7 linked regions of the Coturnix japonica genome follow. The protein of the gene in region 1 purifies or fractionates together with the protein of each later gene. This does not show direct contact. Links are inferred from orthologs where the notes say so. Each region holds a gene or a part of one and is shown in the gene's direction. Other genes may lie near its edges. The genes, in order: RAC1, CTNNB1, GIT1, XIAP, ARHGEF6, DOCK1 and CYFIP1.

Region 1 (4,091 bases):
TTAAGGATATTCAGCCTGAATGACGAATCGTTTCAGCTTCCATCTGTACGGGGGAACGTGGACATACAGGTTTTATAAAAACAGCCTTTCTCTTTTCAGAGATAGACACTGACATGAAATATCTGAGAATTATCATTGCCCTCCAAAGGAAAGAGAATAAATATTGTGGGATGCTCTGTCCACCGACGAGGTTTCATTTGATAGTTTCCAAATAATTTAGACATGTTCTGAAATGAATAGGAGATGAATCACTGGATAAATCCCTGGGATGGCACCTCTGTTGATTGCAGTGAATGGTCACTCAGCACAAGCAGTGACTGCTCGGGTCTCTTCCTCGTGCTTCCTTTGATGGATGGCAACACAAGGAGAATGGTGAATGTGTGCATCAGTCCAACCAGCAGCGTCTTCCAAGGAGAATAACAGCAACTGTGGAAAGGAAAAGGCTCCTGGGGCCATTGGGCCTGATCTGCTCAACTTTTACTTCAACAGTTACAGGAAATAAATGGTTTCCTTAGGGTAAAAAAGAAACCCAGGGCTCTGTGCAGCCTGGCAGCCCCGGTACGCGTGGTCCAGGCTGCCCCACCTGGGGAAGCTGGCTGTGCACTGATCTGGGCTAAAACCTGCCGGCAGATTGAATGAATGTCACAGCATGGCAGGGGGAGAGAGGGCAGCAGGAGGATCTGCCGATGGAAGGAGGCTTCTGGCTGCGCTCTGTGCTGGCACATGGAGCGAGAGGGACCGGCCTGAGGGGAAACGGGCATCTGTCCGTGGTGGCACACAGTGAGTGCCACAGGTTGGCCTTAACTCGAGTTACATCGGTAAATCTGTACAGCGAACCTAATTCCACACTGACACGTTTCGTACAATGTCGTGCATCGGTTTGTGCACAACAGCCTCGTGGCAGACCGGCCTGAGGAGCGTTGAAGGCAGGGATAACAAAATGGTGTCCAAAGGAGCGTTTGCTGTGAGCTTTGTGGCCATGCGATAGCAGTGAGCCGGGCAGGGCGGGATGGCGGGGTTCTGCATCCCGGTGTGCGGGCACACCGAGCTACCGCCCGGCCCGGCAGCACCGCTGCGTGACAGCGCGATTCTGTGCGGCTCCGTGCGAGTCAACGACGGCAAAAAGCAGAAGGGACCGGGACCGGCCCGTGTCGCAGCGCTGCGGGGAAGCCCGGCCCGACCCCGACGGGCGGAGGAACCGGGCGGCGGCGCCGCAGCGTGTCCCGGGAGGGCGGGGCGGCCGGAGCGGGCCCGGAGGCGGAGCGGCAGCGCGGAGCCCGGCCGGATGTGAGCGGAGCGGCCGCTTCCTGTTTCCCGCAGTTCTCTCCCCGCCCTGGGTGGTGGCCGCTGCCTCGTCCCCGCTCGCAGGCTCAGGGCGGAGGCGGCCGCGACACGCTGCGGAGCGACTGAGACGCGCTCCGCCGCCGGCTGCTTTATCGAGCGGCGCTCCACGCCCCGCCCCGCTCCGCAGCCGCGATGCAGGCCATCAAATGCGTGGTGGTGGGCGACGGGTGAGTGCGGACCCGCGGACCGACCCCTTCGGTCGGGCCCGAGCCCGAGCCGCGCTGGATCCCGAGGGCGGGGGCGGCGCGGGGACGAGCGGGGGGTTGGGGCTTGTGCGGGCGGGGGAGGGGAGCGAGAGCGGGACGGGCGGCGACCAGTGCCGGCAAATGGAGGCGACGGGAGGGGCGGGAGCAGCGCGGCCGGTGCGGGCCCGAACGCGGCCACAGCCCGAGTCCGAGCCCAGCCCGAGTCCGAGCCCAGCCCGAGTCCGAGCCCAGCCCGCTCCGCGCCGTGGCGGCGGGTGGTGCCGACCGAGGCGGCTGCGCGGGGCGGGGGTGCGGGCGGCCGGGCGGGGCCCAGCGGGGCTGCGGGATGTGAGCACTGGGAGCTGAGCACTGTGAGCTCTGTGAGCTGTGCAATGTGCGTTGTGAGCTGTGTGAGCTGAGCACTGTGAGCTCTGTGAGCTGTGCAATGTGCGGTGTGAGCTGTGTGAGCTGAGCACTGTGAGCTCTGTGCGCTGTGCGGGGCCGCGCCGGGGAGGAGGCAGCGCGTCACGGGGGGAATGGGCTGAAGGGCGGGGGGCGGATCGTACCGTGTGGAGCCACAAAGTACCGAACTCACATCGCTACATCCGCTTTTTGCTGCACAACTACGAACAATCTGTTCCGCTCCAATCGAACCATACGCGCCGTGTGAGCTGAGCGTTTTCCTGCTCGCACGGCTCCCGTCTGGGGAGGTTCCTGCCTGCAAGAGGCTGAGAAAGCAATCGAAACCCAACTCATTAACATCGTACTCAGCTGTAAATCACTGCTGTGCCTACAGCGCTCCGAATGGGATGTGCCTTATACATTAGTTAGAAACAAGTTGTTAGGATCAGGTTAGCACTAAGCTGACCTGTTGGATTCCAGCATAAGCACTGCAGCTGTGATGGGGATGTTGTGTTGCTGCTTCTCAGTACTCACCACCATGTGTTGCCATTGGCCCAGAGGCTCCTTTCTCTCTCGCTGGGGCAGCAGTGCAGGGCAGCTGAACAAGGCGTGGCTTGTGCACTTCCACGGGGCTTTTTTCCCCCTCGGTAGAAACAAAAATCCCAGTGTAGGCCGAGCATAATCGGTGTCACAGCAAACCCCTGCGGGTGACAGAGGCTGTAAGTGTGGCTGATGGCCTTGCTGCTGTCTCTGTAATTGAATGTGGTGGATTAACCTTCCAGTTTCCTGTGTGTGGCTTTGTATTTTTCAACAAGGCTTGGAGTCCCTGAGCTGGCAGCTGTTAGAAAGATAAACTGAGCTCACGTGGCACATGTGTTCGGCCTGCTCTTACTGTGCAGGGTTTTGAGCCGAACACGAGTGTACTGAGCACTTGATCATCTGACAGAGACTTGTCATAGCACTGTAACTGATGGATCCATCACTGTAATTGATGGATGGTGGGCAGTGTGACTGCAGGCAAACCTTTCAGTTGCGTTGACTTTAAAGGTGACTAAAATCCCTTTTTTTAATTGTCATTTTTAAAGTGAATTGATGTCTGTGGCAGTGCTGGAAATCAACGTGGTGCATCGAGTTTGGGTGGGGAGAAAGTTCTGCCTGTTTCCTCTGCTGGGTTGAGGAGCTCAGTACGGACGCTGTGTTACTCAATGACTCGCTCAGCAAAGCAGTTCTTCTTTGTCTCTTGCTTTGTAAACTACTCCTTTTCTCAATGCATTTCCTGCTGGAAATGAAAGTGTGTCATCCCACCCAAGTCTTACACGTACGTGTGAACAAAACACGGCATTCAGTGGGCTTTCCTTCCTCTGCAGTTAGAAGCACATACCTCCTAGGATCCCATCTAGAAGCCGCTGCTCAGTTTTGCTATCTGTTCATTGACTTCTGCTGGGATTTTTAAATATTTTATGGTGCTTCTCTGCTGTTGCTTCACGAGTGAAGACATTACAGGCGTTCTGGTAAATGCGGAATGTTTGGCTTAGATAAGGCTAAAGCTCTGGTACTTCAGGAAAACAATGCAGGTTAAAGATTTGCTCATATGACATAAAACTTAGGCGCTGATTTATGTGCCCTGTGGAGATCCACTGGGAACAAACCAGCTGTGGATGTACCTGTGCAGCCTTAACAGCTGGAAGCAAGCAGGCGGTTTCTGAGCTGTTTTTGTTCTTAGGGCTCTGACTGGTATCTTTTTAGAGCTCTAATTTGGCTACAAAACACAGCATGTTTGCTGGTTGTGCAATCTTGTTTTGCCCTTGTTTTCCTCTTCATTGTGAGGATTGTTAGAGGGAAAATAAACAGCAACTGTTGCTTGTGCTTGTGGAAGATGCAGAGCAGTAGGAACGTGTGCTGGGATAACAAGGGCAGGAGCTGCTGCTGACTGACACTTGTGGAGAGCACTGCTAGGAGTTATTTTTAGCAGCTTTTGTTTTCACTCTGAAAAAGCAGCTGTTCAGTGGTATGAAATCTCAAGTGATCTCGTGTAACGCTGGGGGAAGTTCTGTGCTTTGGAATGATGATTATTGGGTGACAGAGAAACGGTCAGCTTCCTGCTCTTCTGGAGCTGGTTTTCATTGTAAAACTATTGTAAGAAAAGAGTCTGTCTGGAAT
Region 2 (4,202 bases), on another chromosome or scaffold:
ACAACTGGAGTCAAACTTCAGGAGTCAAGAACACCACGGTCCTTCTGCCCATTGCTGCACACTTCCATGGCATGCAGCACCACTCGATAATTCCCCTGGAAGGTGACCAACCTTCACAGCCTGCTGGCCCTGCACTGCCAGCGTTGGCTTTGCCAGCTCTTGCCGCCTCGTTGCCCTCATTCTTACCCTCCTTTTGGCCTGTGGAGCCAAAACAGGCAACCGTCCTGAGAGAAAACACTGCAACAAATGAAGCTGGATGCCTTGGACCTCCAACTTCAAGGCTGTTCACCTCTTACAGCGGGAACCTACGGGTGCCCAGAGGCTGGTAGGGGGACACTGCTGCAAGCCCTACAACATAACAGGAAGGAATCAAAGATGATTATTATTAGAGTAACTACTTCGAGAGCCATTTTAATGGGACAAGCCTCCCTGCCCTGTACGGGGTGCGGCCCCACAGGGATGGGAAGGGTGCCCGGGCCGCCTGGGAGGTTGGGGCGTGTCCTGTGTACAGCAAACCCTCCTTATTTTTTATTTTCACCACAAGGAAGAATCCCATTTGAAAAAAAAAAAATAAAAAAAAAATAAAAGCATCGACGGGAGCAAGTTGACGTGCAAATCGCTGTAGAAAAGGCTTTTTTTCTTTCTTTCTTTTATTTTTAGTCTGTGTATTACTGAATACAACGAGAGGAAAAAGAAATACGAGCAGCAAACTCATATCCCCGCTCTCACCGTCCCGCAGCCCGCGCTGAGGCGCCGAGGCAGGGCCGCGCCCCGCGGGGCCGCGCACGCTGAGAGGAGGCAGCCCCGGTGGTGAGGAGCGGGTCCGGGGCTGCTCGCTTCTTTCGTGAAACACCAATAAATCGCACAACGAGACACTTGTCTTTAACAGCCGCTTCCTGGAGAAAAACGCGAGGCGCGTTTTCGCCGACGCCAGCGGAGCCAGCCCGCCCCCCCCCCCATCCGCCACCCAAGCTAGGCTGTGTGAATCGGGGGCGTGCGTTGCGAAACGTGCTTAAAACCCAGAAAAAAAAAATATATATATATATATATATATGTATATATATACTGAAAATAGTCTTCTCCGTACAAACAGACGGTGCAGGGACGCAGCCTCCAGGCTGATCCCCGCGGCCGCACCCCTCAAGCACAACTTCACTCGCTCGCTCCCTTCTCCCCCACCTCCGGAGCTCAGCGTCCCAACCACCACCGCCCGCCCCCTCCCTCCTTCCCTCCCCCTCGCTCCCTCCCTCCCTCAGGCGGCTCCTGCTGCCGCCTCGGCCTCCTCCGTCTCCCTCCGCCCTGGGAGCCGGGCACTATTTCTCCTCCCCCTGCCCTGTGCGCTGGGTGCCTGTGGAATGCTGCGCGCTGGGCCCGGCCGCGGCGGCAGGATACAGCCAGCCCAGCGCTCGCTATAAGAGCCTGCTTGTGAGCGCCGCCATTTTAAGCCTCTCTCCCGGTTCGGCGCTGGGAGCAGCAAGCAGCGGCGCTCGGGGACTACCGCCGCCGCCTCGCACGGTTGCTATACGGGAGGCAGCGGCGGGGGACGCAGCTGGGAGAGAGCTGAGCCAGAAGGAGGGCGGCACGAGGAAGGAGAGACGGATCCGGCCGGGATCGCCCGGGCGGCAGCAGCAGCCGGAGCCCGAGGGGACGCTACGCTCTCGCCTCCGTGCCACGTTAGTGCCGCTTCATCCGGTGGGATCTCGGGGCGAGCCCTTCCCTCAGCGGGGAGAGGGAACGGGGGGGGGTCCGGGCTTCGGATGGGAGGGTGGGGGGCTTCGGGAGGGGGGGCGGAAGGGGTCGGGACAGCTGCGGGAGGCGGCAACTGCGGCCCCCGGGGCCTCTCGGGAAGCGCGTCCCGGGCAGCGGGGCGAGGCTCGGCGGGCATGGGGCTTCTTGGGAGGGTTTTTCGGTTCTCGGGGGGTCACCGAGCCGCCGTCGTGGTGGTGGCGGGGTGAGGGGCGGAGAGCAGTGGGTTTGTTCGTGTAATTAACTAATCACGGCCGCTGCAGTGTGCGGGAGATAGCTGATCTGATGCCGCGTGGGTTTTCGGTCTTATTTGCGTGCCTGTGATTGCTGGAGGGCTTACGCTGTTCATGGGGGTCCGCGAAGTGCGGTCGTAGCGTCAATTTGAGACACCCTGTAGCCCATCTGGGGACCGCGGTTCCCCCCAGCTAAGGCGCTTCGAAACAACTTGGCAGTCGCTCCCAGCTATGTTTGGGGCACTTATTTCCGGCTCCCCGTGAAACGGGAGACCCAGGTGTGTCCATTCCTGAAAAGCCATCTTTTGTGCACGGTCCTGGGGCAAGTTTCTCCCAAAACTCCCCAAATCTTCGGTTATCCTCTAGCTGAAACTCGCAGCAGGACGTCGTGCAGTCGATTGGATTCTCTTTTCCCAGAAGAGATACCACCGGTAGAGGTTACTGGGAAGGGAGGACAGGCTGTGAAGGTACCGCGGGCGGGTTGTGAATTGGAGAGCAGCGGTGTTGATCTTTGCGGTCGGCTTTTACTTCTTGATCTCTTTCTCGTGGAGCGGCCATTGTTCTGACACTCGGTACGTTCCAGACATCTGTGGTCCTCCCATCCCCCAAAGTATGCAGTGGTGAATGGAAAGAGGCCGGGCTGGTATGCTGAGGTCGGGGGAAGGAAATCAAGGAGGGGTTTTAGTAAAACAGGATCTTTGTGTGCTCGGAATAGGGCAAGGGCAGGCTAGGAAACTACCTGGACGTGTCACTATTTCCTTCATTCTGAGTTCAGAATTAGGGGAGATAAACTCTTCCTTTAACAAATTTGCTTCTGAATGTTAGTAATGTCCTCCTGCAAGCCTTTAAAACTGCAGTGAGCGTGAAGCTCATTGCTGTTTGTTAAGTTATAACGTGAATTTCAGGAACTGACAATGCAGGAATCTAATGTTAATCTTGCACCCTTTATAAAAGGTGCTGACAGCTGCCTTTATCTGTGTGTTGCAGAATGGTTGGTACTGCTGGAAATGAGCTGCTGAAGTGTTCAGGAAAAGTCTTAAACCTCTCTAAATTCAGCCACTGCAAGAAGAATTGGATCGAGTGCTGGGTTCTTCTGGAGCCCTAAGGAAATATCACTGTTCTGTGGCTATTAGTTCATACATCTGTTTAGTTACAAACTGATAGACATGAGAACGTTCATGTTGATCTGTTTGACTGTTTCATTTCAGAGTGTGGGGAAGAAATCAATAAAAACACCCTGATGAAAGGACAAAGCAGGAGAGCTTCTAAAAACAAGGATTTGCTTTAAAGTCAATCCATTTTTCAAATGTAGCCTTCTGTTACATCTCCTGCAACCCAGGCTTCCTGTTCTTACCAAAGCAATAAATGGGCTGGGCTGCTTGCCTGATCCATTCTCATGAATGCTTGCATGTTGCTGTGACTGCCTGGTGTGTCAGTAACCAGCTTATCAAATCTCAGTCCTGAAACCTCGCTGCCCTTCAGAGATGAGGCTTTCTTTGTGTGGTGAATGTTGGTTTTCGTGACTTTAAACTAACAGAAGCTTGTGTTTAGTCTTTCAGAGCGCAGTGCTTAAGTGAATTCTTTTGTAAAGGAGAAAAGTCGGTTTTGGTGGCCTTCTAAATGACTCTTGGAGTAGAGAGGCACATAGCAAGAAGGGAGCAGGAAAGAGCAATTGTAATCATCTGTCTTTGTGAATGGGAGTCTGATGGTGCTGTCTGAAACTTACGGCTAAAGATGTTTCTGTGGAATACTGTCTGGTAGGCAGATTAGTGTGCAAACACAGCAGTAAGCAGAATCGCTCCTGTTAACTCAGTTAAAGCTGGTAACACAGGGCTGGCGGTGATGATGGCAGCAAAACTTGTTCTGTAACTCTGGCAGACTACGTACTGCGGCAGGAAAATCAGGACCGACCTTACTTATCTTAAACATCATATACTTCATAGGGCCTGATAAGATTTGGTGAGAAACTATGCAGGCAGCTGGGGCTTGTGCACGACTCCTCAAGCATGTGCCTGCAAATCCTGAGCCTCCTGCCTTTCTGGGTGGCTCTGCAGGAGCTCCGGCTTAGCCGTGGCACCGTGCTAATTCTGCAGACTGCGTGGCACTGAGTATTGCATGCGATTTCCTTGTCTGTTCAGGCAAAGTGACTCCTGGTAAAAGAGGGCAGGGCACTATTGCTGGCTGACTTTTTGGTTAAGCATTAGAAGGCTTGTTTTGGGGGTG
Region 3 (4,188 bases), on another chromosome or scaffold:
GCACCGCCCGGCCTCATGGGACTTGTAGTCACTGAGCGCGGCGTCGCCCCTTCCTCCTCCTCCTCCTCCTCCTCCTCCTTTTCCTCCCCGCACCCCCCGCCGGCCCTATGCCCCCCCCCATTGTATGGGGCTGTTCGGGGACGGCTCCGCAGCGCCCGAAGGCACAACCTGAATTCTTATCGCACCCCCCCGCTCTCCCCACCCACGGGCGCTCAACACGCAGCAGCGCGACCCCCGCGATGAGCCCGTGGGGTGCCGACCCCCCCCCGGCCCCATTTCCCTTTCCGCCCCCGTCCCTCCGCTCGTGTTTTCCGGCAGCCGCCAGAGAACAATGCGAGGTTGGGCCCCACGGCTGCCCCCCCCCCACCCTCCGACCCCTCCCCACGCCCCTATGGGGTTCCCGCGGGGTCACCCCGCTCCTTCCCCGCCCCTATGGTGGGCTGTGGCCGTGACGACCCCCCCCCAAAGGTCCCGCTGTCCCGTGACGTCACGGCCATGCAGCGGTGAGCTCAGCGCCGGGCGGGTGCAGCGTGACACGGCGCTGTGCCCCCAGCCCCGGGCGCTGATCGGGGTCCCCCGGGCTGGGGGTGGCGCCCCCCGACCCCATCTGACAACGGCACAGAGATGGGCACCCCCAGTATCAAACCCCCCCACACACACTATGCCAGGTTCAGCCATCGTGGGGGTGGGGGTCGGGGTGATTTGGGGCCTCGGGGGTGCGGGTGCAGGATGGGACCCTGGGCTGGGAATGGGGCTGGGGGCAGGGCCGGGGAGTGCATGGAATCAGAACCGGGACATGGGCTGGGTCAGAACCTGGAACGGGACACGGACCAAGGCTAAAACCAGAACCAATGGATGCCTAGAATGAGACCAACTCAGAACCAGGACCAAAATGAGAACCAGGCCCGGGTCCAGAGGATGCCCAGGATCCGGATCACTATCAGGACAAGAACCAGGGGTTGTCCAGGACAAAACCGGGACCAGGACAAGGTCCAAGACTAACCCAGGACCAAGACCAGGAGCAGGGAATACCCAAAAGCAGGACCAGAACAGAGGCAGGGAATGCCCAGGAACAGAACCAGGATGGGGACAAGAACAAGGAGACGCACAGAATCAGGACTAGAACCGGGACCAGAACCAGAGGATGACAGAGCCGGGATGAGGACGAGAACCAGCACCAGGACGGGCCCCGATCCGCCCCAAAGGGCCGCAGCTCCATCACCCGCTGCTGCTCAGGGCGCGCCGTGACTGCGCTGCGCTGCGCTGCGCTGCGCGGGGCGGGGGCGGTTCTGCTCCTCCTCCGCCGGGGCCGGGCCTGAGCCGCTTCCTGCGGAGCCGCCGGGGCTGCGAGCAGCCGGCAGGGCAGGCGGCAGGAGGGCGAGGCGGCCCCGAGCCCCGCCGCCCCCCCCCGACCCCTCCCCAACCCGACCCCCCCATCCCCCCCTTCCCCGGCCCCGCTCCGCGCTGGCGCAGAGACCCGGGCCCGGCTCGGCGCTGAGGATGTCCCGGAAGGCGCAGCGGGCGGAGGTGTGCGCGGACTGCAGTGCCGCAGGTAGGGAAGGGCCGCGCCCGGCCCCGTCGGCGTTATCCCCCCCCGACCCTCCTCCACGCGGGGCCGTTCGCAGTTCGGTTGTGCGTGTGCCTCCATCCCCTCCCCCCCAGCATCAGCACCTGGATGACGCCCCCCTCCCCCTTTGCTCTGGACCCCGCTGCCCCGCTCTGAACCCCCAGCTTTGTACCCGCGATACCCCGGTGCCTCCCTCCCCCCCCCGCACCCCCTATTTACCCCAGGGGTCCCAGTGACCCCCACCCTTCCTTCACACCCCGTGCTGAGACCCCAGGAGCCCAGGGTTCCCCCTGCATACCCTGCCGACTCCCTCTTTGCCCACAGCAACCCCACAACGTGCCCTAAATAAACCCCCCCCCCGTTCCCCCTGCAACCCTCGGTGCACCCCATTCCCCATCCCTTTGTACCCCTACTTTCCCTCTCGGCACCCAGCACTGTGCCCCCCGGTGCCCCTGTTCTGCACCCAGGAACCCTACAGTGAGCCCTAAAATGCCCCCTGTGCCCCCCAGACCCCTTGTTCTATCTCTTACAGCCCCTTGTTGCCCCCCATTACCCCCCACTCTTCACCCCCTACTTTACCCCCGGGTTCCCCTTTTACACCCCGCACTGGGAATCCCCGCTGCACCCCATTATCTCTATAACATACCCTAAAGATGGCTCCCCCCCCATATTGTGACCCCCAGACCCATCCCTGCGGCGCTGGGGGCAATGAATGAACGTTGAAAGCGGCTCAGAGCCCTGAGGATGGCGGCCACGTGCATGGGGGGCTGCGGGGTCACCCACTGCTGTGGGTCAGCCCCTGTTATAAGGTACCCGGCGGTGCCGAGGTTCCTATGGGGGAAATGGAAAGCTTTTTCTCCCAATCCCTTATCGCCCGGCGGCCATGGGAGGAAATGAGTTATAAAGTCCAGAGGCCGCTTCCGACATCGCGGGGCCGGGAGCAGCCGGTGTCGGGATGTGCGGGGTGCCCGGCTCCGGCATCGCCCCCGCGGCGCAGGGATGGAGTTTCCCATTGCTCCGGGTTATGGGGTAGCACCGTTCTGCTGTGCCCTCAGCCGCCCCGATCCCAATGAAGGAGGAAGGGGTGGCACTGCGAGGTGCTGTATGGGGTGCTGTATGGGGTCCTATATGGGATCCTATATGGGGTGCTATATGAGGTGCTATATGGGGTGCTATATGGGGTGCCCCCCCCCCGGCACGCAGCATCCTGTTCCCGGCAGCGCCCCGTGGGCCGCGGTGCGGAGGCGCAGATGCGGCGGTGCTGCTGCCAAGCGCTGCCATCTGCCCGGGCGGTGCTGCCAGGATTTGGGGGGGGGGACGACGACAACACTGCCTTGTGGCCGCTGCCGGCTGTGCCCCCCATATTAGAGGGGTCGGGGCTGCCTGGTGTGGGGCAGCAGTGGGGTTTTGGGGAGGGGGTGGGAAGGAAGCGCCGCACTGGGTGATGGGGGTGGGTCGCTGGTGGTGCTGCTGCCCCCTCCCACCCGCAGCCCTTCCTCCCGTGGGGCGGCGCGGTGTTTGTGTAGGCCCTATAGATGCACAACACTCCTCTGCTATGGCACAGGGACGCTGGGGACCGTATGGCCCACCCTGCCCCTGCCCCCTGTGGAGGGGGGGGTGGCACCCCATCTGTCCCCCATCCCTTCTGTTGGTGCCGGGGGATCTGGACCCATTGGGGTGCTGGCTGTGGGGAGCTGCCCCCAAAGAACGGTGGGGCCCCCGTGGCTGGAGCGGGGCCGGTGCCAGCACAGTGCTCAAACGTCCCTTTGTTCTCCTGGGGACACAAAGGGCTCCAGTGCGGCCGAGCGGGGCCGGGCAGGGGGCGTGGGGCTGCTGGGGGGGGCACAGCCACTGAGTCCGTGATGGCTGAGTGGGTGGGAGGGCACCCACCTGTATGGGGACACCCGCAGCACAGGGGACACAGCATCGGCACGTAAGGGTGTATTGCACAGTGCTGGCATCGCCCCCGCTGCTGTCAGCCCTTCTGATGAGGGGGCCAAATCCTGCCCCCCCCCCTTGGTTGCTAAGGGAACCCTTTGGGTTTCCCCTGGCGATGGGCTGAGCCCCTCTCCGTCACCCTGGAAACCGCCATGTTGCTACGGTGACGCTGCCCCCCCCCACACACAGCCCCCCCTACATAACACCCCACGCCCCCTGCAGACCCGGGCTGGGCCTCCATCAACCGCGGTGTGCTCATCTGCGACGAGTGCTGCAGCGTGCACCGCAGCCTGGGCCGCCACATCTCCATCGTCAAGCACCTGCGGCACAGCCCCTGGCCCGCCACGCTGCTGCAGGTGGGTGCACCCGGGGGGGGAGGTTACAAGGGGGGTGTCCCATCGGCTCACTGTGCCCCCCCCCATGCATAGATGGTGCACACCTTGGCCAGCAATGGGGCCAACTCCATCTGGGAGCACTCGCTGCTGGACCCGGCGCAGGTGCAGAGCGGGCGCAGGAAGGCAAATCCCCAGGATAAAGTGCAGTAAGTGAGGGCTGTGTGTGGGGATGGGGCTGTGGGGATGGGGGGAGCTGTGGTGGATGTCCCCCCCCCCTCACCCTGTGTCTCCAGCCCCACCAAGTCAGAGTTCATCCGCGCCAAGTACCAGATGTTGGCCTTCGTGCAC
Region 4 (4,227 bases), on another chromosome or scaffold:
GCCTATAGTGAAAGGTGCTTCAAAGTAATACAATTCATTTTACTGTTGAGTCACCAAAGATGTCGTTAGTTTTGGCTTGCAGTACAACTTACTGATTCAGAATTTTATGTTAAACTGAACTTTAAATTGGTTGAACAGAAGAACAAGAACTGGCTTGTGTAGAAGGTAAAACATTTTATAAGCATTACTCTTCTTATTGTCATCATTTTTCTTGTTTGTGATGTTTTCTTATGTTTTGGTTGCTCTGTGTGTTGGGTCTAGAAGTTTTGGGTTTTGTTTGATCAGGATGTTTGATTTAGACATCAAAACCCAGAAGAGGGTCACTGTAAAAACACCTTGTGGTATTAAAAAAAATGATTTGCCTCGTTTGGAAAAGCATCAAAACCTCAACAAAGCGATGGCATTTGTTAAAATCATTGCTAATGAATGCATTAGTAATGTGGGATGGTGAGGATTTATAAGATTAAATATTCACATTCATCCTGCTCTGTTAAGGTGCTAACCTCTCACCGTGTCATAATACGTCTGAGATCTTTAAGTAAATAACTGTGCTTTGCTATGGTGTGAACTGAGTGTGGACTGATAGGAATCTTTACTAGCGAAACACAGCTATTTCTCGGGATATTGAAATCAGTACAATTATCATCTTGGGTTTAAATTCTTAAATAATATTTCTGTCATGTGATCCAGAACGATAGTCTGCATTTTCAGTACAGCCAGTTTTCTCATTTAGAAACGACTTTGTTTTGACTCTGTACAGATACACTGGAGGTTTCAGATCAGGTGAAATGCCAACCTGCAGAGATGTCAGCCCACACATTGCTGACTCGGGACTGGAAAAACTCGTTGTTCTCATGAGAGGAGGGAGGAATAAAGGCAAGAAGACAAGTTCTGCGCCAAGTTAGCAAGCGGCGTTGCTGGCAGCTCTCATCTTCAGGGGGTACCTCAGAGAGCAGCACATGGCGGATGTGTGCTGCCAGGGAGGTTGTGGATGCCCCGTCCTTGGAGGTGTTCAAGGCCAGGTTGGACGGGGCCCTGGGCAACCTGATCTAGTAAATGTGTATGTTTGGTGGCCCTGCCAGGCAGGGGGTTGGAACTACATGATCCTTGAGGTCCCTTCCAACCCGGGTCATTCTGTGATTCTGTGGCGGATGACTTCTCACGGTGGCCTTTGTGCAGACCATGGATTCTGTGGGGAACAACCACTCCCTCACACCATCTTTCAGCGGCCCTTGAGCACCACGCCTGGCCGGTACCCAGCGGGAAGTGCTGGCGAGCGGGTTGGGGGCTCTTCGGCCGCTCCACTCCACGAGGAGCGGGCAGGAAGACCAGCAGCCGCTGAGGGGTGATGCGCTGCCCGCCCGCCGCCACTGGGTGCCGCCGTCTGACAGCGGGCCCCGCACTGCCGCGCTCCCCCGGCCCTGTGTGGGGCGCTGCTGCCGAGCGGTGCGGAGCCGAGAGGCTGCCGGGAGCCGCCATTTTCTCAGCCGGAGCGATTCCCGCAGCCGGGGCCGGTGAGGAGGATACGCGGCGCGGTGAGTTGTCAGGCGGGCGCGGCGCACTCGGGTCGGCGGGCGGACTCCCCGCGCGGGGTAGGGCCGCTCCTTTCCAGCCCTGGTTCTGCTCGGGGCCCACCCGCCCCATGTGCTCGAGGGTCGCCGAGCCGGGAGGCGTTGCCACAGGAACGGGCGCGCCCCCTCCGCTGCAGAGGTGTCCGCTCGTGGTTTCACAGCCTGGGCTTTGTGGTATCCACTGAAGTGTCTGCTGCCTGGAGTTGTGATCTCGTGTGTAGGACAGTGTTCGGATGGAGCAGAGTCGTTCAGCTCTTCCTCCTGTGCTGCTGCCCGCACTGGAGCTGTGCTGTGTGTTACGTTAGGGATGAGGTGTGGTGGTGTTTGCTTCACTTACACCAAAAGAAAAAAAACATTTTGCTGATGGATGCTTCCAAATCCTTTCTTAACTAATAGCTTGATGCAGTTAAATATACACTGAATTATTCACCTCGTCTCTTGAAATAACTGCGTAAGATGAACTTTAAGAAAGCAAGTTTTCATCTGGGGATGAAAAGTTTTGTTGAATAAGTCTATATTTTGATATATTTTTTTTGTTTCCTTAAGTGCTTCCTTTTGCTGTCCTGTAGTTTTATTTAGGACCCATAAGAGGACACACGAGTGATTCAGTCCTTTTGGAAGTTGGGCACCCACGCTGTTGGCCAAGAAGGGCAAAGAAATGAGTTAATGACAGCTCTGTGCTTCCTCTGACCTTGCTCCTTGTAACCAGCAGCAAAAGTGAAAGAACTCTGATGTGGGTGTGGTGGGGTTTTTTTCTGCTTCAAGTGATACGAGGCAGACTTGCTTCTGTTATCAGAACAGTTAGAAAATGCGTGTTCCTATCAAAGCCTTTGGAATGTGAAGGTGGATTTTGTTGCAGGCTTCTGTGTGCCCACGATAGTGATGGTGCACCTGTTGCTGTACTGCCAGGCTGGGCGAGGCAGCCAAAGGGAGTTGAAGTGTTGCAGAATATCCAGTTCATAAGTCAATGAAGAGCTCCCTGTGAAGGAAAGGATGTATTTATTTATTTGTTTGTTTATTGCCTAAAGATTGGTGCCAGAACACATGAAACTTGTATCTGCTTTAGTTAATCTGCTGCTAACCTTGGTTGGTGGCAGGATACCAAGGGGAAAGCCATTGTAGATACCCTTTCATTCTTATTTTCCATCAGGAGTTAATGGATGTAGTCTCTTGCAGCTTATTTTTCATAGCAAGAGGTCCATCATGAGATGTTCTATTCAAAAGGCTCTGAACACAACTATAGGAAGCCAGGCTCTAGAAATAGATTTCTGAACCTAAGGGGAAGAAAATTTTAGTTGTGCAGATAGGCTGAAGGTATGTGAAAGTGGAAGAAGGCGTGTTGCACAGCCTGATTTGGGTTGTCCTTCAGGACTAGAAATGCTATTGTTTTAATTGGTGCTGCTTCTTAACAGCTCAGACTGTATCACAGAATGTTTTACTTTTTGCCTTTTCTATGCTTGGTTAGTTATCGGGTGGATACCAGCAATAAGATATTTGACCCCCTTATACGTTGCTGTGTCTTTGAGTAGACGAAGAAGGGACAGCAATTGATTTCATAAGGAGAGATTTTGCACATCTAGTTTTAGGAACGTTTCCTATTTTAGAAATGGAAACTGTAATACTGTGTGCACAACTGAAAATTGTTACCAGAGAACCTGGGTGCTTCCCATGTTAATTTTGGACTTGATGACTATCCAAAATCTTCTTTACTAGAGTGCAGGTTCTATTTTAAAGCTTGCTTAGTGGAATCTAATCAATGTTGGAATTGAGAAGCCATCCTCAGTGAGCAATGTCACTTATGTAATATAGAACGTAAAATGAAGCTGGTCTTGAAGTTTGCTGTCCTTCCCCTTCTGTGTTCTGAACGTTTTCTTATTAAACAGTAAGGCAGCATTTGGTGCTGAGTGCTGTCTGCAGGTGCAATTTTCACGTTTCACTTTTGTGTTAGAATTAGTCCTCGAGTCATCCCAACTTGATAAAAAACTTCAAGTATAGAGGATAATTCAAGAGATTCCAAGCACACAGCTGTGTGTATGCACACCAATTTGGGTGTGTATGATTTCAGCCCATCGATGAATGACAAAGCATTCATGCTAGTGATACTGGGCTGAGGTGCCATTTAGCCCAGATGGATTTGCTGTGTGAGCAGCCCAGCTGGGCAGAGGTCATGGGCTCCCTGTGCTGCCCTGCTGCTGCAGTTTCTTCCTTTATAATCGCAAGGATCTGGCAGTTTTGCTGTGGCATTAATCACTTTACTGCAACTGGAGTCCAGTCTCATTATGTCCCCTTGAAGAGAGCTTGTCTCTTTCTGTCTTTTCACTCATCTATAGGCATAAATGTTTTCTAGCTGAACAGTAAAAGCATGTGATGCTGCAAGCTGGAGCACAGCTCATACTTGAGAAGGGAGGAGTATCCATGGTCACTGCAGGTTTTGCCAGGTGTTTTTTATCACTGCCCATTTTGTTCACATATTCCCATTGACTGCCTTTTTTTTTTCTTCCTAACCAAGAAGAGCAGTAACTCCGTTGTATTCCTGCAGTGATACACTTTATAGTCACTGATTGATACTTTTGATGGATACTTTGTTCCCCTGTTTTAACTCTGTGGAGGGTTGGATCTGTATAGCTTGCTTCTCAGTTTATTGAAGTTGCTTTGT
Region 5 (3,958 bases), on another chromosome or scaffold:
GAGGGCCCCCGCCATCTTATGGTGGAAGCAGTCGATATGATGATTACGGCAGCACACGTGATGGATATGGAAGCCGAGAAAGTTACTCAAGCAGCAGAAGTGATGTCTACTCAAGTGGCCGTGATCGTGTTGGAAGACAAGACAGGGGTCTTCCCCCATCCATGGAAAGGGGCTATCCACCTCCTCGTGATTCATACAGTAGTTCAAGCCGCGGAGCACCCAGAGGTGGTGGCCGTGGCGGAAGCAGATCTGACAGAGGTGGAGGCAGAAGCAGATACTAAAAACACTCTTAACTTTTTTTTTGGACCAAGACATTACTTTTCAAACAAAGTAAAAAAAAAAAAAAAAAACAAAAAAAACAAAAAAGTGAAGTTCTATCTTTACTACCAGAGGACTACTAAAAGGAAAAGTTGTTTTTACCTTTTTTTTTTATTGTTGCCTGTTAAGTTTTCCCCTCCGTGACTTCTATGCTTTTGTGAAGAAAATTTAAACCAGTGTTTAATTTCATTTCAGAATTGTTAACATTTCTTTCAAAAGGCAGATGTTAAATGTATAAAGTTTGAGCTGTGTACTAGTGTTGTAATTTCCAAAGTAAAGTTTCCCTGAAATGGCACAATTCCCATCTGACTTTCCTCGTGAACGGAACAAGCAGTACTTAAGCTCTTCCACACGACATCCAACTATCTAATATGGAGCTGGATTGTTCTACATGTTCAGCATCTCGTTCTTAAAGTGTTGTTTGTGATGTGGAGGGTGGTGGGGATGTTCCACAAAAACATTCATTTTTGTCTAGAATTTCAAGTCAGTGTTCCCTGAAGTCAATGTTCCCAGTAGAAAATGCCTTCAGATCTTGTGTTTTAAAAAAAAAAAAAAAGTCACTCCACCTGGAAAAAACATGTGGATAATACTAATTTTTTTGCCTTTCTCCTGCTTTGGGGGGAGTTGAAAAAGTTCTCCCCATCAAATGAACCATGTACATACATGTAAGTCAGCTACAGTATACTGTTTAAAAAAAAAAAAAAAGAAAAAAAAATAATAAAAAAGTTTGACCAATTCATCAAAGAAGCTACCAAGCCATGCTTACTCATACTGTTTCAAATTTTTGCAACTCTGTAGTGTTTCACTTTTAAAGGAACATCTTTGATTCCAAAGGAGAAAATAAGATAAGCAAAGAAGTCTTTCTCTCCAACTTCTCAAAGGCTTATGGCTTCCTAAAAACAAGTGAAACTTTCAGCATTCCACAGCTGATTTAAAGCAACAAATGCCTGTGAAACAGCAAAGATGGTAAGCAAAGCAAACTAGTTTTTCAGTCTAAGTCAAAATTGAACCAAGTTTCTTCCTCTAGTACGGTAAAACCAGCTGCACGTCATGGCAATGGAAGTGCTGTCTAGATTTTAAAAAAATAAGGAAATGAAATACTTCAATACATTAGAAGTTCTCAAAATTCAACATTTCTTCTTGGATAAAAGCGTTTATGGCACCAGTTTTGAATCTAAACATAAGAATGCAGCTCGCTGTAGACAGAATACTGTGAAGTAGGGTTGGGAGGGGGTATTTTGTGCCCAGTATCTTTCGTTGAAGATGCTCAAACAGACTGCGTGTACTGTTATTTTAAGAAAATTAAAAGACTTGTGAAGTCAGGAATTGATTTAGATTGACAGATGCCATCTCAGCTATTGGGAGTTTGAAGCAAGCCATTGCAAACTTGACATTTAGTTGGATGCCTGACTGTTCAGTTTTGACACAGCGTTACAGGAATACCTGGTACATGTGGCAGAACCTGTGACAAGTTATGACTCAGGTAAAGCCATGAAGTTCAAATGATGCTCTTGAATGTAGTATACGTGAAGACCTCCAACTAAAAGCAAAACCAAAGCTTTTTACTTCTGTTTAGTCCTCAGTACGTTTTGTCATTCAACTTATGGATTTAACGTGGCAGTGCACCATTGAAAAGGAATGAGAATCCATAAGCCATGCAACCAGTCACTAAGTCATTCCAGTCCATTCCAGACCAGTGAATCCTCCACCACTTTAAAGAGAAGTAGTAAAACTTGAAACAGACTAATCTGCAAACCCAAGCTTGTGACTCTTGAAATGGGGGGAAGCACTATAGATTGACTCGTGCTGTAAAATGTATTTTTCTCAGCTTGCTTTATTTTGATTACAGGATGATAACTTCTGGAAGATGCTTCTGAAGTAAAGCAGATTCGTCTGGTTTGGTGGCAGAGATGAGTGATGCCTGTACTGATAGATCAGGTAATTACTGTATTTTTGTAGTAGTTCTGTAGAAGATTTTTGATGGATCTGTATTGGGGTGGATATCCTTAGTGGCTAAAATAATTCTTTCAACTCTGAAAGCAAAATTTGGAGGAGCAGGTCTAAGCAGGGCTTTCAATTGCCAAGTTAGGAATTTCAGTGAGTGACTTCCTCCTAAAAGAAATGGTCCACTTGGGGAACCAGTGATCATAAAATGCAGTTACGGATAGACCATAAAATGCATTTAAGTATGAATGCACCATACTTAGTCTAAGATTCTTCATAAAATAAGACCAAAACATCTGGATTGGAGTAACAGCAAGGGTCTTCAGATTAAATTGTATACTTCCCACTTACTGCTGCTACTTTAAAGTACTTTTGAGATCAGGTTTTAAAAAGGTGAAAAGAAAATGCTACACTTGATACTGTGGTTCATCTGACTAATCGTGTTTGATTTTAGGTTAGATCTGTCTTGGATAAAGGAGATAGGTTCTGTTGCACACTGTGTGCTGTTATAATCTCAGTTTGCTTACAGCTTTTTGCTATGTGCAGTGCTTTTGTCAGAACATGCCATTAATACTTTGTACGTATTCCTGCCAAGTTCCTGCTTTATCTCAGGGTACTGGATTTTATTTCAGATCAATAAAGGGCATAGTACAGTGATGGGACCCAGTAGATCATGTTCATGGTTGGGCTCAATGATCTCGAAGGTCTTCTCCAGTCCAGATGGTTCTGTGATGGTGTGACATACAAAAGCAACATCTGTAGTTTCTGTTCTGAGGCTGATTAAGTACATAGTTAAGTAAAAGCTACTAACTCACCACTTCTATCACTTCTATTTTGGTGTTATTATTCAAAGAATTTCAACGTACAAGTGTTAATTTCCTCATCTTTGCGGTGCTCTTGAATGTTCAAGTGTTTAAATCACAAATCCTTCTGGAAGTGACACTGAACCATGTTTTTCATGACAAAAGCACCAGTATCAGTAATAGGGCACTGAGGTGGAGTCAGGAAATAAGTCTTGAAAATAAACTCTTCCTCCACCTACAACAAAATTAATAGGCATCAGTCTTTAAAGTTTGAGGCTGGTCCATCCAGACCATTAGTCTTGCTAACTAAAAGGTGATTCCCTATCTTTAATATGCAGCATCCTAGGTGACAGTAAAAGGTCTTACCAAATCATCATACAGATTGTGTCAAAATGTTGTCAATTTCTTTTGGTATTTATATGCCATGTTGTTGTTAATTCTCTCCATCTCTTCTCTGGGAAGTGGGAAATTAATTAGTCCTGGCAAGTGAAAATCTCTCTCTTTGAAAGTGAAGATCTTTATCAGTTTACTAGATTTGTTTTATCACTTACAGGTGCTTATTAGACTGTGTTGGAATTATTAAAGATAAACCTGATGTATTTTTTTACTCTTGGGACAGTTTGGAAATAGCCAAAATACATTTGCTGTGTATGCAGCAACAACTTGGTGATGTGACTTTGTCTGTTATGTGCTTTTTGAGAGCATACTAAGTTGAATTTCCTTTCTTTCAGACAAGAAGAAGGCAGTGCAGCAGTGGATATACACTGGAAAATAGAAGAACAACAAAATGCAGCTAGCCAAAGTCGACTTTTGAGCGTGGTGTCACCCAGTATTTGTTTCAGAGTTGTGTTACAATTTAAGGAATTTTCTTTGAAAGTAGCCCATCTGATCTT
Region 6 (3,500 bases), on another chromosome or scaffold:
CCTGAAAGCAGGTAAGATTTTTCAGAGCGAAAGGCTTTTGATCTAGAGATAGCAGGTCTATCAGGGTTTGTGCTAACTTCGAGCCATCAGATACTTTTAGAAACGAGCTGGTTCCAGCTCTCACCCTGTGGCTGCAGACTGCATTTATCAGATATTTTATGATATAGCCGATATGTTCTGAGTGCCTCAGCACCTCTGCTTGTTATGATGGTATGTTGGCACGTAGACCATCTGCCTCTTGGAATTACTGGAAATCCTGTTTCCCAGTTCATTTCAAGGTTTTACTTTAATGGGGGTGAGGCTGAAGAGCGTTTTGAGACCTAAAGCTAAATGTAGTCCTCCCCTGAGACCTGTGGCAACAAAAACATCAGAAATCTCCCCTTGCAGTGTTATAGCAGACCTCCATAGACCGTCATGTAAAAACACCTGTGTGAGATAAGTTGAAGGAATTGAAATGTATCCTTTCAAATTAATAATGAAAATAAAGGATAGAACCAACAAGAGAACTGAGGTGTTTCTGGAATGATACGGTACATAATCTTAATGATGAGGATGTATTCTTTCAGTCCAGGAGTAATTGTGTGGTTGGTTGTTCTGCTTATTTGTTAGCTTCAACTCTATGAGTTGGTAGTTCAAGTTTACAAACCATAAGTCAATTTTAGCTAATCATAACTGCTTTCAGCACTGCTGGTTTTCAGTGTTGAAAATATGCTGGCTTTCAAACATTGTCCTGCATGTAAATATGTGTGTGTTTGTTACTAGTGATGTTGGTCATTGATTCTATGCGTTGCTTCAAACTTTGTGCTCCTTTTCTTGTAGGAGATGTTCGCAATGATATCTATGTGACGTTGGTTCAGGGAGATTTTGACAAAGGCAGTAAAACAACAGCAAAAAATGTAGAAGTTACAGTGTCTGTTTATGATGAAGATGGGAAAAGATTAGAGGTATTATTTAGCGAACATTTCTATTTTTTTTTTTATATATATATATACGATTCTTCAACATCTTTTTAGATATTTTCAACTTTAGTCCCTATTTTTGTTTACAACAGAACGTTCTCCTTCTCACAGTTCCTTTATCAGTGCATGTGTTCTGTCATATTTTGATCTACTTACTGATTTATCTTTTATTTGTCGAATTGAAAAGTCGAGGTGAAGATGGACATAACCATTTTCTCTTCTGCTTGTGTTTCCTAGAGTGTTATTTTTCCTGGTGCTGGTGATGAAGCCATCTCAGAGTACAAATCAGTAATATATTACCAAGTAAAGCAGCCTCGCTGGTTTGAGACTGTCAAGGTACGAACATGTTATAATAATTTCATCCATCGGTGTTCATACAAAGTTAATATAGATTTCAGTGGAAAGTCTTGAGAAGCAAATCTAGAAACATGAATGCTTGTAGCCATTCTCAGTAGAACAAAAGGAGGCATTTCAAAGATGGCTGGAAAATGGATTAGTCTTTCATTGCATAAAAATTGTATTTCATCCTTCTGGTCAAGATGGCTGTTTTGGGGGCACTGCACCATCTGTTTGGGAACAATTTTTACTCTTTCCATGAAACTGACCTGCAAAAGCAGAATATTGAGATTAAAACATAATTGCTATACTGTTGAACTTATCGTTGTTTTGGGACTTGGCTGATTGTACTGCAAGCTTGCTGGAGCTGCTTGGATAATAACATTTTAGCTTAAATGCTGATTTTTGTGTAGGAGGCCAGCGTTAGCTTAATGAAATATTCTGTAGTCAGTGGGAACAGTAGATGCATATCAAAGAAAAGAGGCTCTTCGGATCTCTCTGCACCGTGGTTTCAAGTCAAAGGAGCTCTCAATGCATGTGGCAGCAGAAAGTTGTTGTTGGGGGGTCTCAGAACCCCAGATGTGGTAGGGAGCAGCAGGCAGCACGGAGCTTGCTGGTGCACACAGCTAAGGAAATACAGCAACTGGAGTGAAAATATCAGGGGCAAAGAGTAGCTACATCTCTGCATGTTGGTTATGTCTGGATCAGTGACGCACTAATAGTTTGTGTAGTGCAAGTGGTGCATAGGTAATAAATATCTTACAGAGTTCACCTCTGCCAGTCATAGTCAAGGGGGGCTTGTTCCTGAGCTGGGAGGATTGACAGGGAATGCTTTGAGGTTTCAACCATTGTGGCTGTGTCAGCCTTAGCATCTCCATGTCTTGCTGGGTAACTTGCTGGGTAAATTGTTGATTTTCCTAGGGAATCTGTGACCGTTGGTCTTTGGTGGCCAACTGAAACTTGTCCTTAGCATTAATGCTTTGTAAAGAGCCAGGACTGGTGTTGAAAATGTCTAGATGAGATTTGGTAGTGGTAGATATGTTTGAAGATGCTGCCCTGACTGTTTCCTTTCTCCATCCTTTCCCACAATACGTGAAGGTTGCAATCCCCATTGAAGATGTGAACCGGAGTCATTTGAGGTTCACGTTCCGACACAGATCATCACAGGACTGTGAGTAATTTGGCCTTTTCATTGTGATTCTTGTCAGTGTCTGGTGCCAATATCTGCTGAAACAGGCATAAAATGTCTTATCCGTAATTGACTGTTACAATTGGTTTTGCTGTGGGGGTAAGCTTTTTGCCTGCTTGTTTTATGTTAGCTTTTCAACTTCTTTTCTCTTTGCAACTTATAGATTTTACCTTCGGCATTGCCTTTTCTTTTCCTGTCCAGTCATTTCTCCACACCATATTGAACGGCTAGTGGGTAAATCCTTCAGTTAGGAACTGATAGTTGGTAGTGAGATTCTTAATAGCACCTCACATATGAAATAAGAATGTGAAAGAGAAGTGACAGGAGGCTTAGGATCAGTAGTAGAAGCTATTAAGAAACTTGGTTTCCGTTTCTGGTTTTCAAGCTGACTTGTGGTTGTTTTGAAGTAAGTGATACTTGAGGGTTTGTGGTTCTCCTCAGCATTTGGGTAACGTTGGCAGCTCAGATGCTTTCATAGGCTGAGCATCCAGCCAATCCTTCTAGACATCTTCCATTTGTCACCAGTTGATCTCCAGTAAAATGTGGGTTATGATAACATTCATTCCCTGTAGTAATGACAGTGGCTGCCTCACTGGACAAGAACACCTTTCTAAGTTGTGTTGACCATACATGTGTTGACCAAAGTGTTAATCAGGTGGCATCCACTGGATGCATTTTAAGGTATGCAGTACTTTTTATGTATACTCATCTGTGTAGTGTGGAGTTCACTATCCCATAATGGTTATTTAGTTAAAGCAGTATGCTTTGTAATATGGTCATTAATAAGAGATTCTCTGTTTCGAGATCTAGTACCTACTAATGAAAACAGTGTGCAGAGAATCAGTGTCACTGGTGTCCACATTACAGTTGTGAACTGCGGACTACTAGAGTGAAAAAGTAAATAGTATGTGGTGGTACAAACATTTAAGTCAGCCATGGTTTAAATATTAATTACAGTCTGTGCTTTAGGGCTGCAGTGCTTCTTCATAGGCTCATTGGACCATCTCAAGTTGGTT
Region 7 (3,500 bases), on another chromosome or scaffold:
CTTGTTAGTCATAACTCTCTCTCTGCTGGTGATATTGTTGTTTTGGGATACAAAGGAACTTGCAGGTTGTAAACACTGTTCCATTCTGAACTTTTAGTTGTTTTGTGCTGGTTTAAAAAACATGCAGTAAGATGTATCATTCAGCTTGCAATACACATTTGCACATATACTTTCTGATAAGAAAAAGTTTACTTTGGAACAATGGCAGAGAAATGAATTTAACTCCTATGTTTTACACTGCTATATTGTTACCGAGTTTCTCTCTTGCAGAATGAAATGTTAGAAGAGGGCCAGGAATATGCTGTCATGTTGTATACATGGAGGAGCTGCTCAAGAGCCATTCCCCAGGTAAAGGGTCCGAAATAAACCATCATGTATCATGTGCACTTCTGTCTTGGTTACAGATTTAGTAATGAGTTCTGAAATTAAGTTTGCTTTGATCCCTGAATTAGCAAGCTGTGCATGCCATAGAACAGTGTCTTAACACATGGGAACTAGTTGGACTTCTTTTTTTTTTCTTCCCCAAACATTTAAATTCAGAGCAGGTTTAACAGGTGATGCAGCATGTGATAATTAGCATTTGGGTTAAACATCCTAGGTTTTCAAATGGTTATTTTCTCCTTGTCAGAGCTATGCAGTGTTTTCTTGATCCGTGTGCAGAAATAAAAGCCTGTGAATGCATGTCTGGGAATGGTGATACGGGGATGGGATGGGAAGAATATTAAGATGCATCAGGAAAATTAAAGTTGTGAATTGGCAACAGCTTGCAAATATTTTTATGCACAAAGAACAGAGATAACAGAGAAAAAAAAATAAATCTCAATTTCTGTTTTTAAACTCGATGAAAAATGGCGAAGATTCACTAATGCCAGCTATCGATGCCTTAAATTTGTATAGTTAAGATGAGAATATGTTTTCTAGTTTGTCATTTGGGATCTGAGTTTCTGAGGGAATTTTTTTTTTTATCTGGGAAAGCTGTAAGTGTGATTGATGGTCTTTCTAATTGTCTTCAGGTTAAGTGCAACGAGCAGCCTAACAGAGTGGAAATTTATGAGAAGACAGTAGAAGTTCTGGAGCCAGAAGTCACAAAACTTATGAAGTTCATGTATTTCCAGGTAAAAGGAATAGAAATTAAACATTTGTTAGCAATATTATATGCTTATTCTGTATGCTTGATATTACATGCTCAGATATTCAACTTAATCGTTATAATTTGGTGGAAAAAAAGATCTCTCAGAAGGGCAGCATTTCTAAAACTTCAGGAGTTTCACAGAATAAGAGAATTGCAGGGGTTGGAAGGGACCTCTAGTGATCATTGAATCCTACTCCCTGCTAAAGCAGTTCCCTACAGCAGGTCTCAGTGGGAAGCATCCAGGTGGTTCTCGAGTATCTCCAGAGAAGGAGACTCCACAACCTCTCTGGGCCACCACTCTCACAGTAAATAAATTCTTCCTTGTGTTTGTATGGAATTTCCTGTGTTCCAGCTTCTGCCCATTGCTCCTTGTTCTATTGCTGCGCACCACCACCTAAAAAAGAGATTCCTCCATTAAGACTTTGAGGATAAAATAGAAGGTAATTGCACATGGTCCCTGACACCATGGAAGGAACAGAAGTGCAACACATTTTGTGTATGTGTAAGGCAATCTCAGATGGCCCTGGTGCACACTTGGAAATAAGCCCTCAAATAACCACGTGCAAAGATGGCTGTGCTGACATTAATCACTATTCTGCTATAAAATCACTTGTTTCAAAGGGATTTTAAATTTTTCTGACTTCAGATTGCAGATAATATTTCCAATTGTGCCAGGCAGGTTCTGCCTGTCATAAGGAAATCCTTTGTGACATTTGTAGTACACAGAGGTGAAGCTGGAAAGGCCGTGCTCATGTGTTGTTGGCCTCACAGGCCTTAAATGTTTTTGTTGCTTTGGTGGTGCTTTTCATCACCTCTTATAGGTGCACCAAAGTGGACTGTTGTTAAGAGGGGAGGACAGACAGGTGTGAGACCTCTGGTTGTGGGATGAATCTTGGAAACATTGTGGCTTTTACTCTCTGACTCTTTTTTGTTTCGTTAGAGAAATGCAATTGAACGGTTTTGTGGGGAGGTGAGACGCTTGTGCCATGCAGAGAGGAGAAAAGACTTTGTCTCTGAAGCGTATCTGATCACACTGGGCAAATTTATCAACATGTTTGCAGTACTAGATGAGCTGAAGAATATGAAGTGCAGTGTGAAGAACGACCATTCAGCCTACAAGAGGTGAGCTCTTAAGGACAGGATCAGGATTTATGCTGTGGGGAGACAGAGCTCCCACAAGATGGCAGCAGTAGCTCCCTTTTGGGCAGCTTTTTCTGCAATTACTGCAGCTAAACCATTGACTAAATTGACTTTCTTTATGCTGCTCTTCCAGCAACTAAAGATTGTTCTGTCTTTTGAGGCAAAACTGGCAAGTACTTCTATCATGGCGTTCACTAAATGTATTGGATATGCACTGCTCAATACTGCTTTTCAAGTTTCAGAGAAAGCTGACTTTTTGTTCTACTCCAGTTTTTGGCATCCAGTTTTGATGCTTGTAACTTAAAGTTGTTCTTACGATATTTCAGTGTTGCTCTTAAGAATTGTCAATAAAAGGGTAGGTTTGGCTAACATGTTTTTGTGAAGCTTTGGCAAGAAAGCACTAGCCTTATGTGTAAAAATCTTTTTCTGCCTGATTCAGGAGATGGGAGATATGCAAAGGTCAGTAACCTTGTACATGCAACAAATGGTGTTGCCATTGTACTGATTGTACTGATAGTTACAGGTTCTATTGACTACCCGATAGATGCAGAGATGAGTGTGTTGAGAGGGGATGAGTTTGCTTACAAGCATTGCCACTGAAGGGAAATATGGTTGTTTTATTTTCTATTTGCAAAGAGCTGCTCAGTTCCTACGGAAAATGGCAGATCCTCAATCCATTCAAGAGTCCCAGAATCTCTCCATGTTCCTTGCTAATCACAACAAGATAACACAGGTAAGCTTCAATTGCCTTTTTCCAAAATACTGAATGCTGTATAAAACCTTTAAAAGAAAACCCTTTCAGTTTGGTAGTAGCTGCTGATCCTAAGGGACTGTAACTTCTTGACTAATGTCCTTTCTCCTTTTTTTTTTTTTCCAGTCGTTACAGCAGCAGTTGGAGGTGATTGTTGGCTATGAAGAACTGCTTGCAGATATTGTGAATTTGTGTGTGGACTACTATGAAAACAAAATGTATCTAACCCCCAGCGAGAAACATATGCTTTTGAAAGTAAGTTTCTTTTCAGTACAAACTTAAAGAAAGGTTGAAGCAGAACAAAGATGTTTGCATTCTTCTTGGATTTTTGTTTCCTTTTGCCAGAACCACATGAACTTTTAACACTGAATCTGTTAAGGAAACTTCTAATCCATTTTTGTTCTTCATAAATTGAGGTTAGTCTAACTGAACTGCAGCCTTGTTGGGAAACTAATTCTATAGAGTGGTGTTTCTATG

Evidence for each region.
Region 2: the proteins of RAC1 (region 1) and CTNNB1 purify together in Homo sapiens (affinity purification with western blotting; 4 studies listed by BioGRID, with this or other methods). This does not show direct contact. The link is inferred for Coturnix japonica from reciprocal best matches to the Homo sapiens genes RAC1 and CTNNB1.
Region 3: the proteins of RAC1 (region 1) and GIT1 purify together in Homo sapiens (affinity purification with mass spectrometry; 3 studies listed by BioGRID). This does not show direct contact. The link is inferred for Coturnix japonica from reciprocal best matches to the Homo sapiens genes RAC1 and GIT1.
Region 4: the proteins of RAC1 (region 1) and XIAP purify together in Homo sapiens (affinity purification with western blotting; 3 studies listed by BioGRID and IntAct, with this or other methods). This does not show direct contact. The link is inferred for Coturnix japonica from reciprocal best matches to the Homo sapiens genes RAC1 and XIAP.
Region 5: the proteins of RAC1 (region 1) and ARHGEF6 purify together in Homo sapiens (affinity purification with mass spectrometry; 3 studies listed by BioGRID, with this or other methods). This does not show direct contact. The link is inferred for Coturnix japonica from reciprocal best matches to the Homo sapiens genes RAC1 and ARHGEF6.
Region 6: the proteins of RAC1 (region 1) and DOCK1 purify together in Homo sapiens (pull-down; 6 studies listed by BioGRID and IntAct, with this or other methods). This does not show direct contact. The link is inferred for Coturnix japonica from reciprocal best matches to the Homo sapiens genes RAC1 and DOCK1.
Region 7: the proteins of RAC1 (region 1) and CYFIP1 purify together in Homo sapiens (pull-down; 3 studies listed by BioGRID and IntAct, with this or other methods). This does not show direct contact. The link is inferred for Coturnix japonica from reciprocal best matches to the Homo sapiens genes RAC1 and CYFIP1.

The regions. Positions count from the first base shown.
Region 1 is NC_029529.1:8,463,519-8,467,609, reverse strand, and holds the start of RAC1 (ras-related C3 botulinum toxin substrate 1), read left to right. Parts: upstream 1-1,291; 5' UTR 1,292-1,476; coding exon 1,477-1,511; intron 1,512-4,091. UniProt on the Homo sapiens protein: Plasma membrane-associated small GTPase which cycles between active GTP-bound and inactive GDP-bound states.
Region 2 is NC_029517.1:39,909,123-39,913,324, forward strand, and holds the start of CTNNB1 (catenin beta-1), read left to right. Parts: upstream 1-1,402; 5' UTR 1,403-1,673; exon of another isoform or gene 1,674-1,692; intron 1,693-2,401; exon of another isoform or gene 2,402-2,551; intron 2,552-4,202. UniProt on the Homo sapiens protein: Key downstream component of the canonical Wnt signaling pathway.
Region 3 is NC_029534.1:4,843,467-4,847,654, reverse strand, and holds the start of GIT1 (ARF GTPase-activating protein GIT1), read left to right. Parts: upstream 1-1,388; 5' UTR 1,389-1,500; coding exon 1,501-1,552; intron 1,553-3,727; coding exon 3,728-3,861; intron 3,862-3,933; coding exon 3,934-4,046; intron 4,047-4,133; coding exon 4,134-4,188. UniProt on the Homo sapiens protein: GTPase-activating protein for ADP ribosylation factor family members, including ARF1.
Region 4 is NC_029519.1:14,642,539-14,646,765, reverse strand, and holds the start of XIAP (E3 ubiquitin-protein ligase XIAP), read left to right. Parts: upstream 1-1,427; 5' UTR 1,428-1,535; intron 1,536-4,227.
Region 5 is NC_029519.1:4,266,646-4,270,603, reverse strand, and holds the start of ARHGEF6 (rho guanine nucleotide exchange factor 6), read left to right. Parts: upstream 1-1,158; 5' UTR 1,159-2,256; intron 2,257-3,796; 5' UTR 3,797-3,958. Other genes in the region: RBMX (RNA-binding motif protein, X chromosome), read left to right, coding at 1-281. UniProt on the Homo sapiens protein: Acts as a RAC1 guanine nucleotide exchange factor (GEF).
Region 6 is NC_029521.1:29,272,342-29,275,841, forward strand, and holds part of DOCK1 (dedicator of cytokinesis protein 1), read left to right. Parts: intron 1-819; coding exon 820-944; intron 945-1,196; coding exon 1,197-1,295; intron 1,296-2,393; coding exon 2,394-2,466; intron 2,467-3,500. UniProt on the Homo sapiens protein: Involved in cytoskeletal rearrangements required for phagocytosis of apoptotic cells and cell motility. Along with DOCK1, mediates CRK/CRKL regulation of epithelial and endothelial cell spreading and migration on type IV collagen.
Region 7 is NC_029516.1:117,490,442-117,493,941, forward strand, and holds part of CYFIP1 (cytoplasmic FMR1-interacting protein 1), read left to right. Parts: intron 1-270; coding exon 271-348; intron 349-1,013; coding exon 1,014-1,115; intron 1,116-2,072; coding exon 2,073-2,254; intron 2,255-2,908; coding exon 2,909-3,005; intron 3,006-3,149; coding exon 3,150-3,278; intron 3,279-3,500. UniProt on the Homo sapiens protein: Component of the CYFIP1-EIF4E-FMR1 complex which binds to the mRNA cap and mediates translational repression. In the CYFIP1-EIF4E-FMR1 complex this subunit is an adapter between EIF4E and FMR1.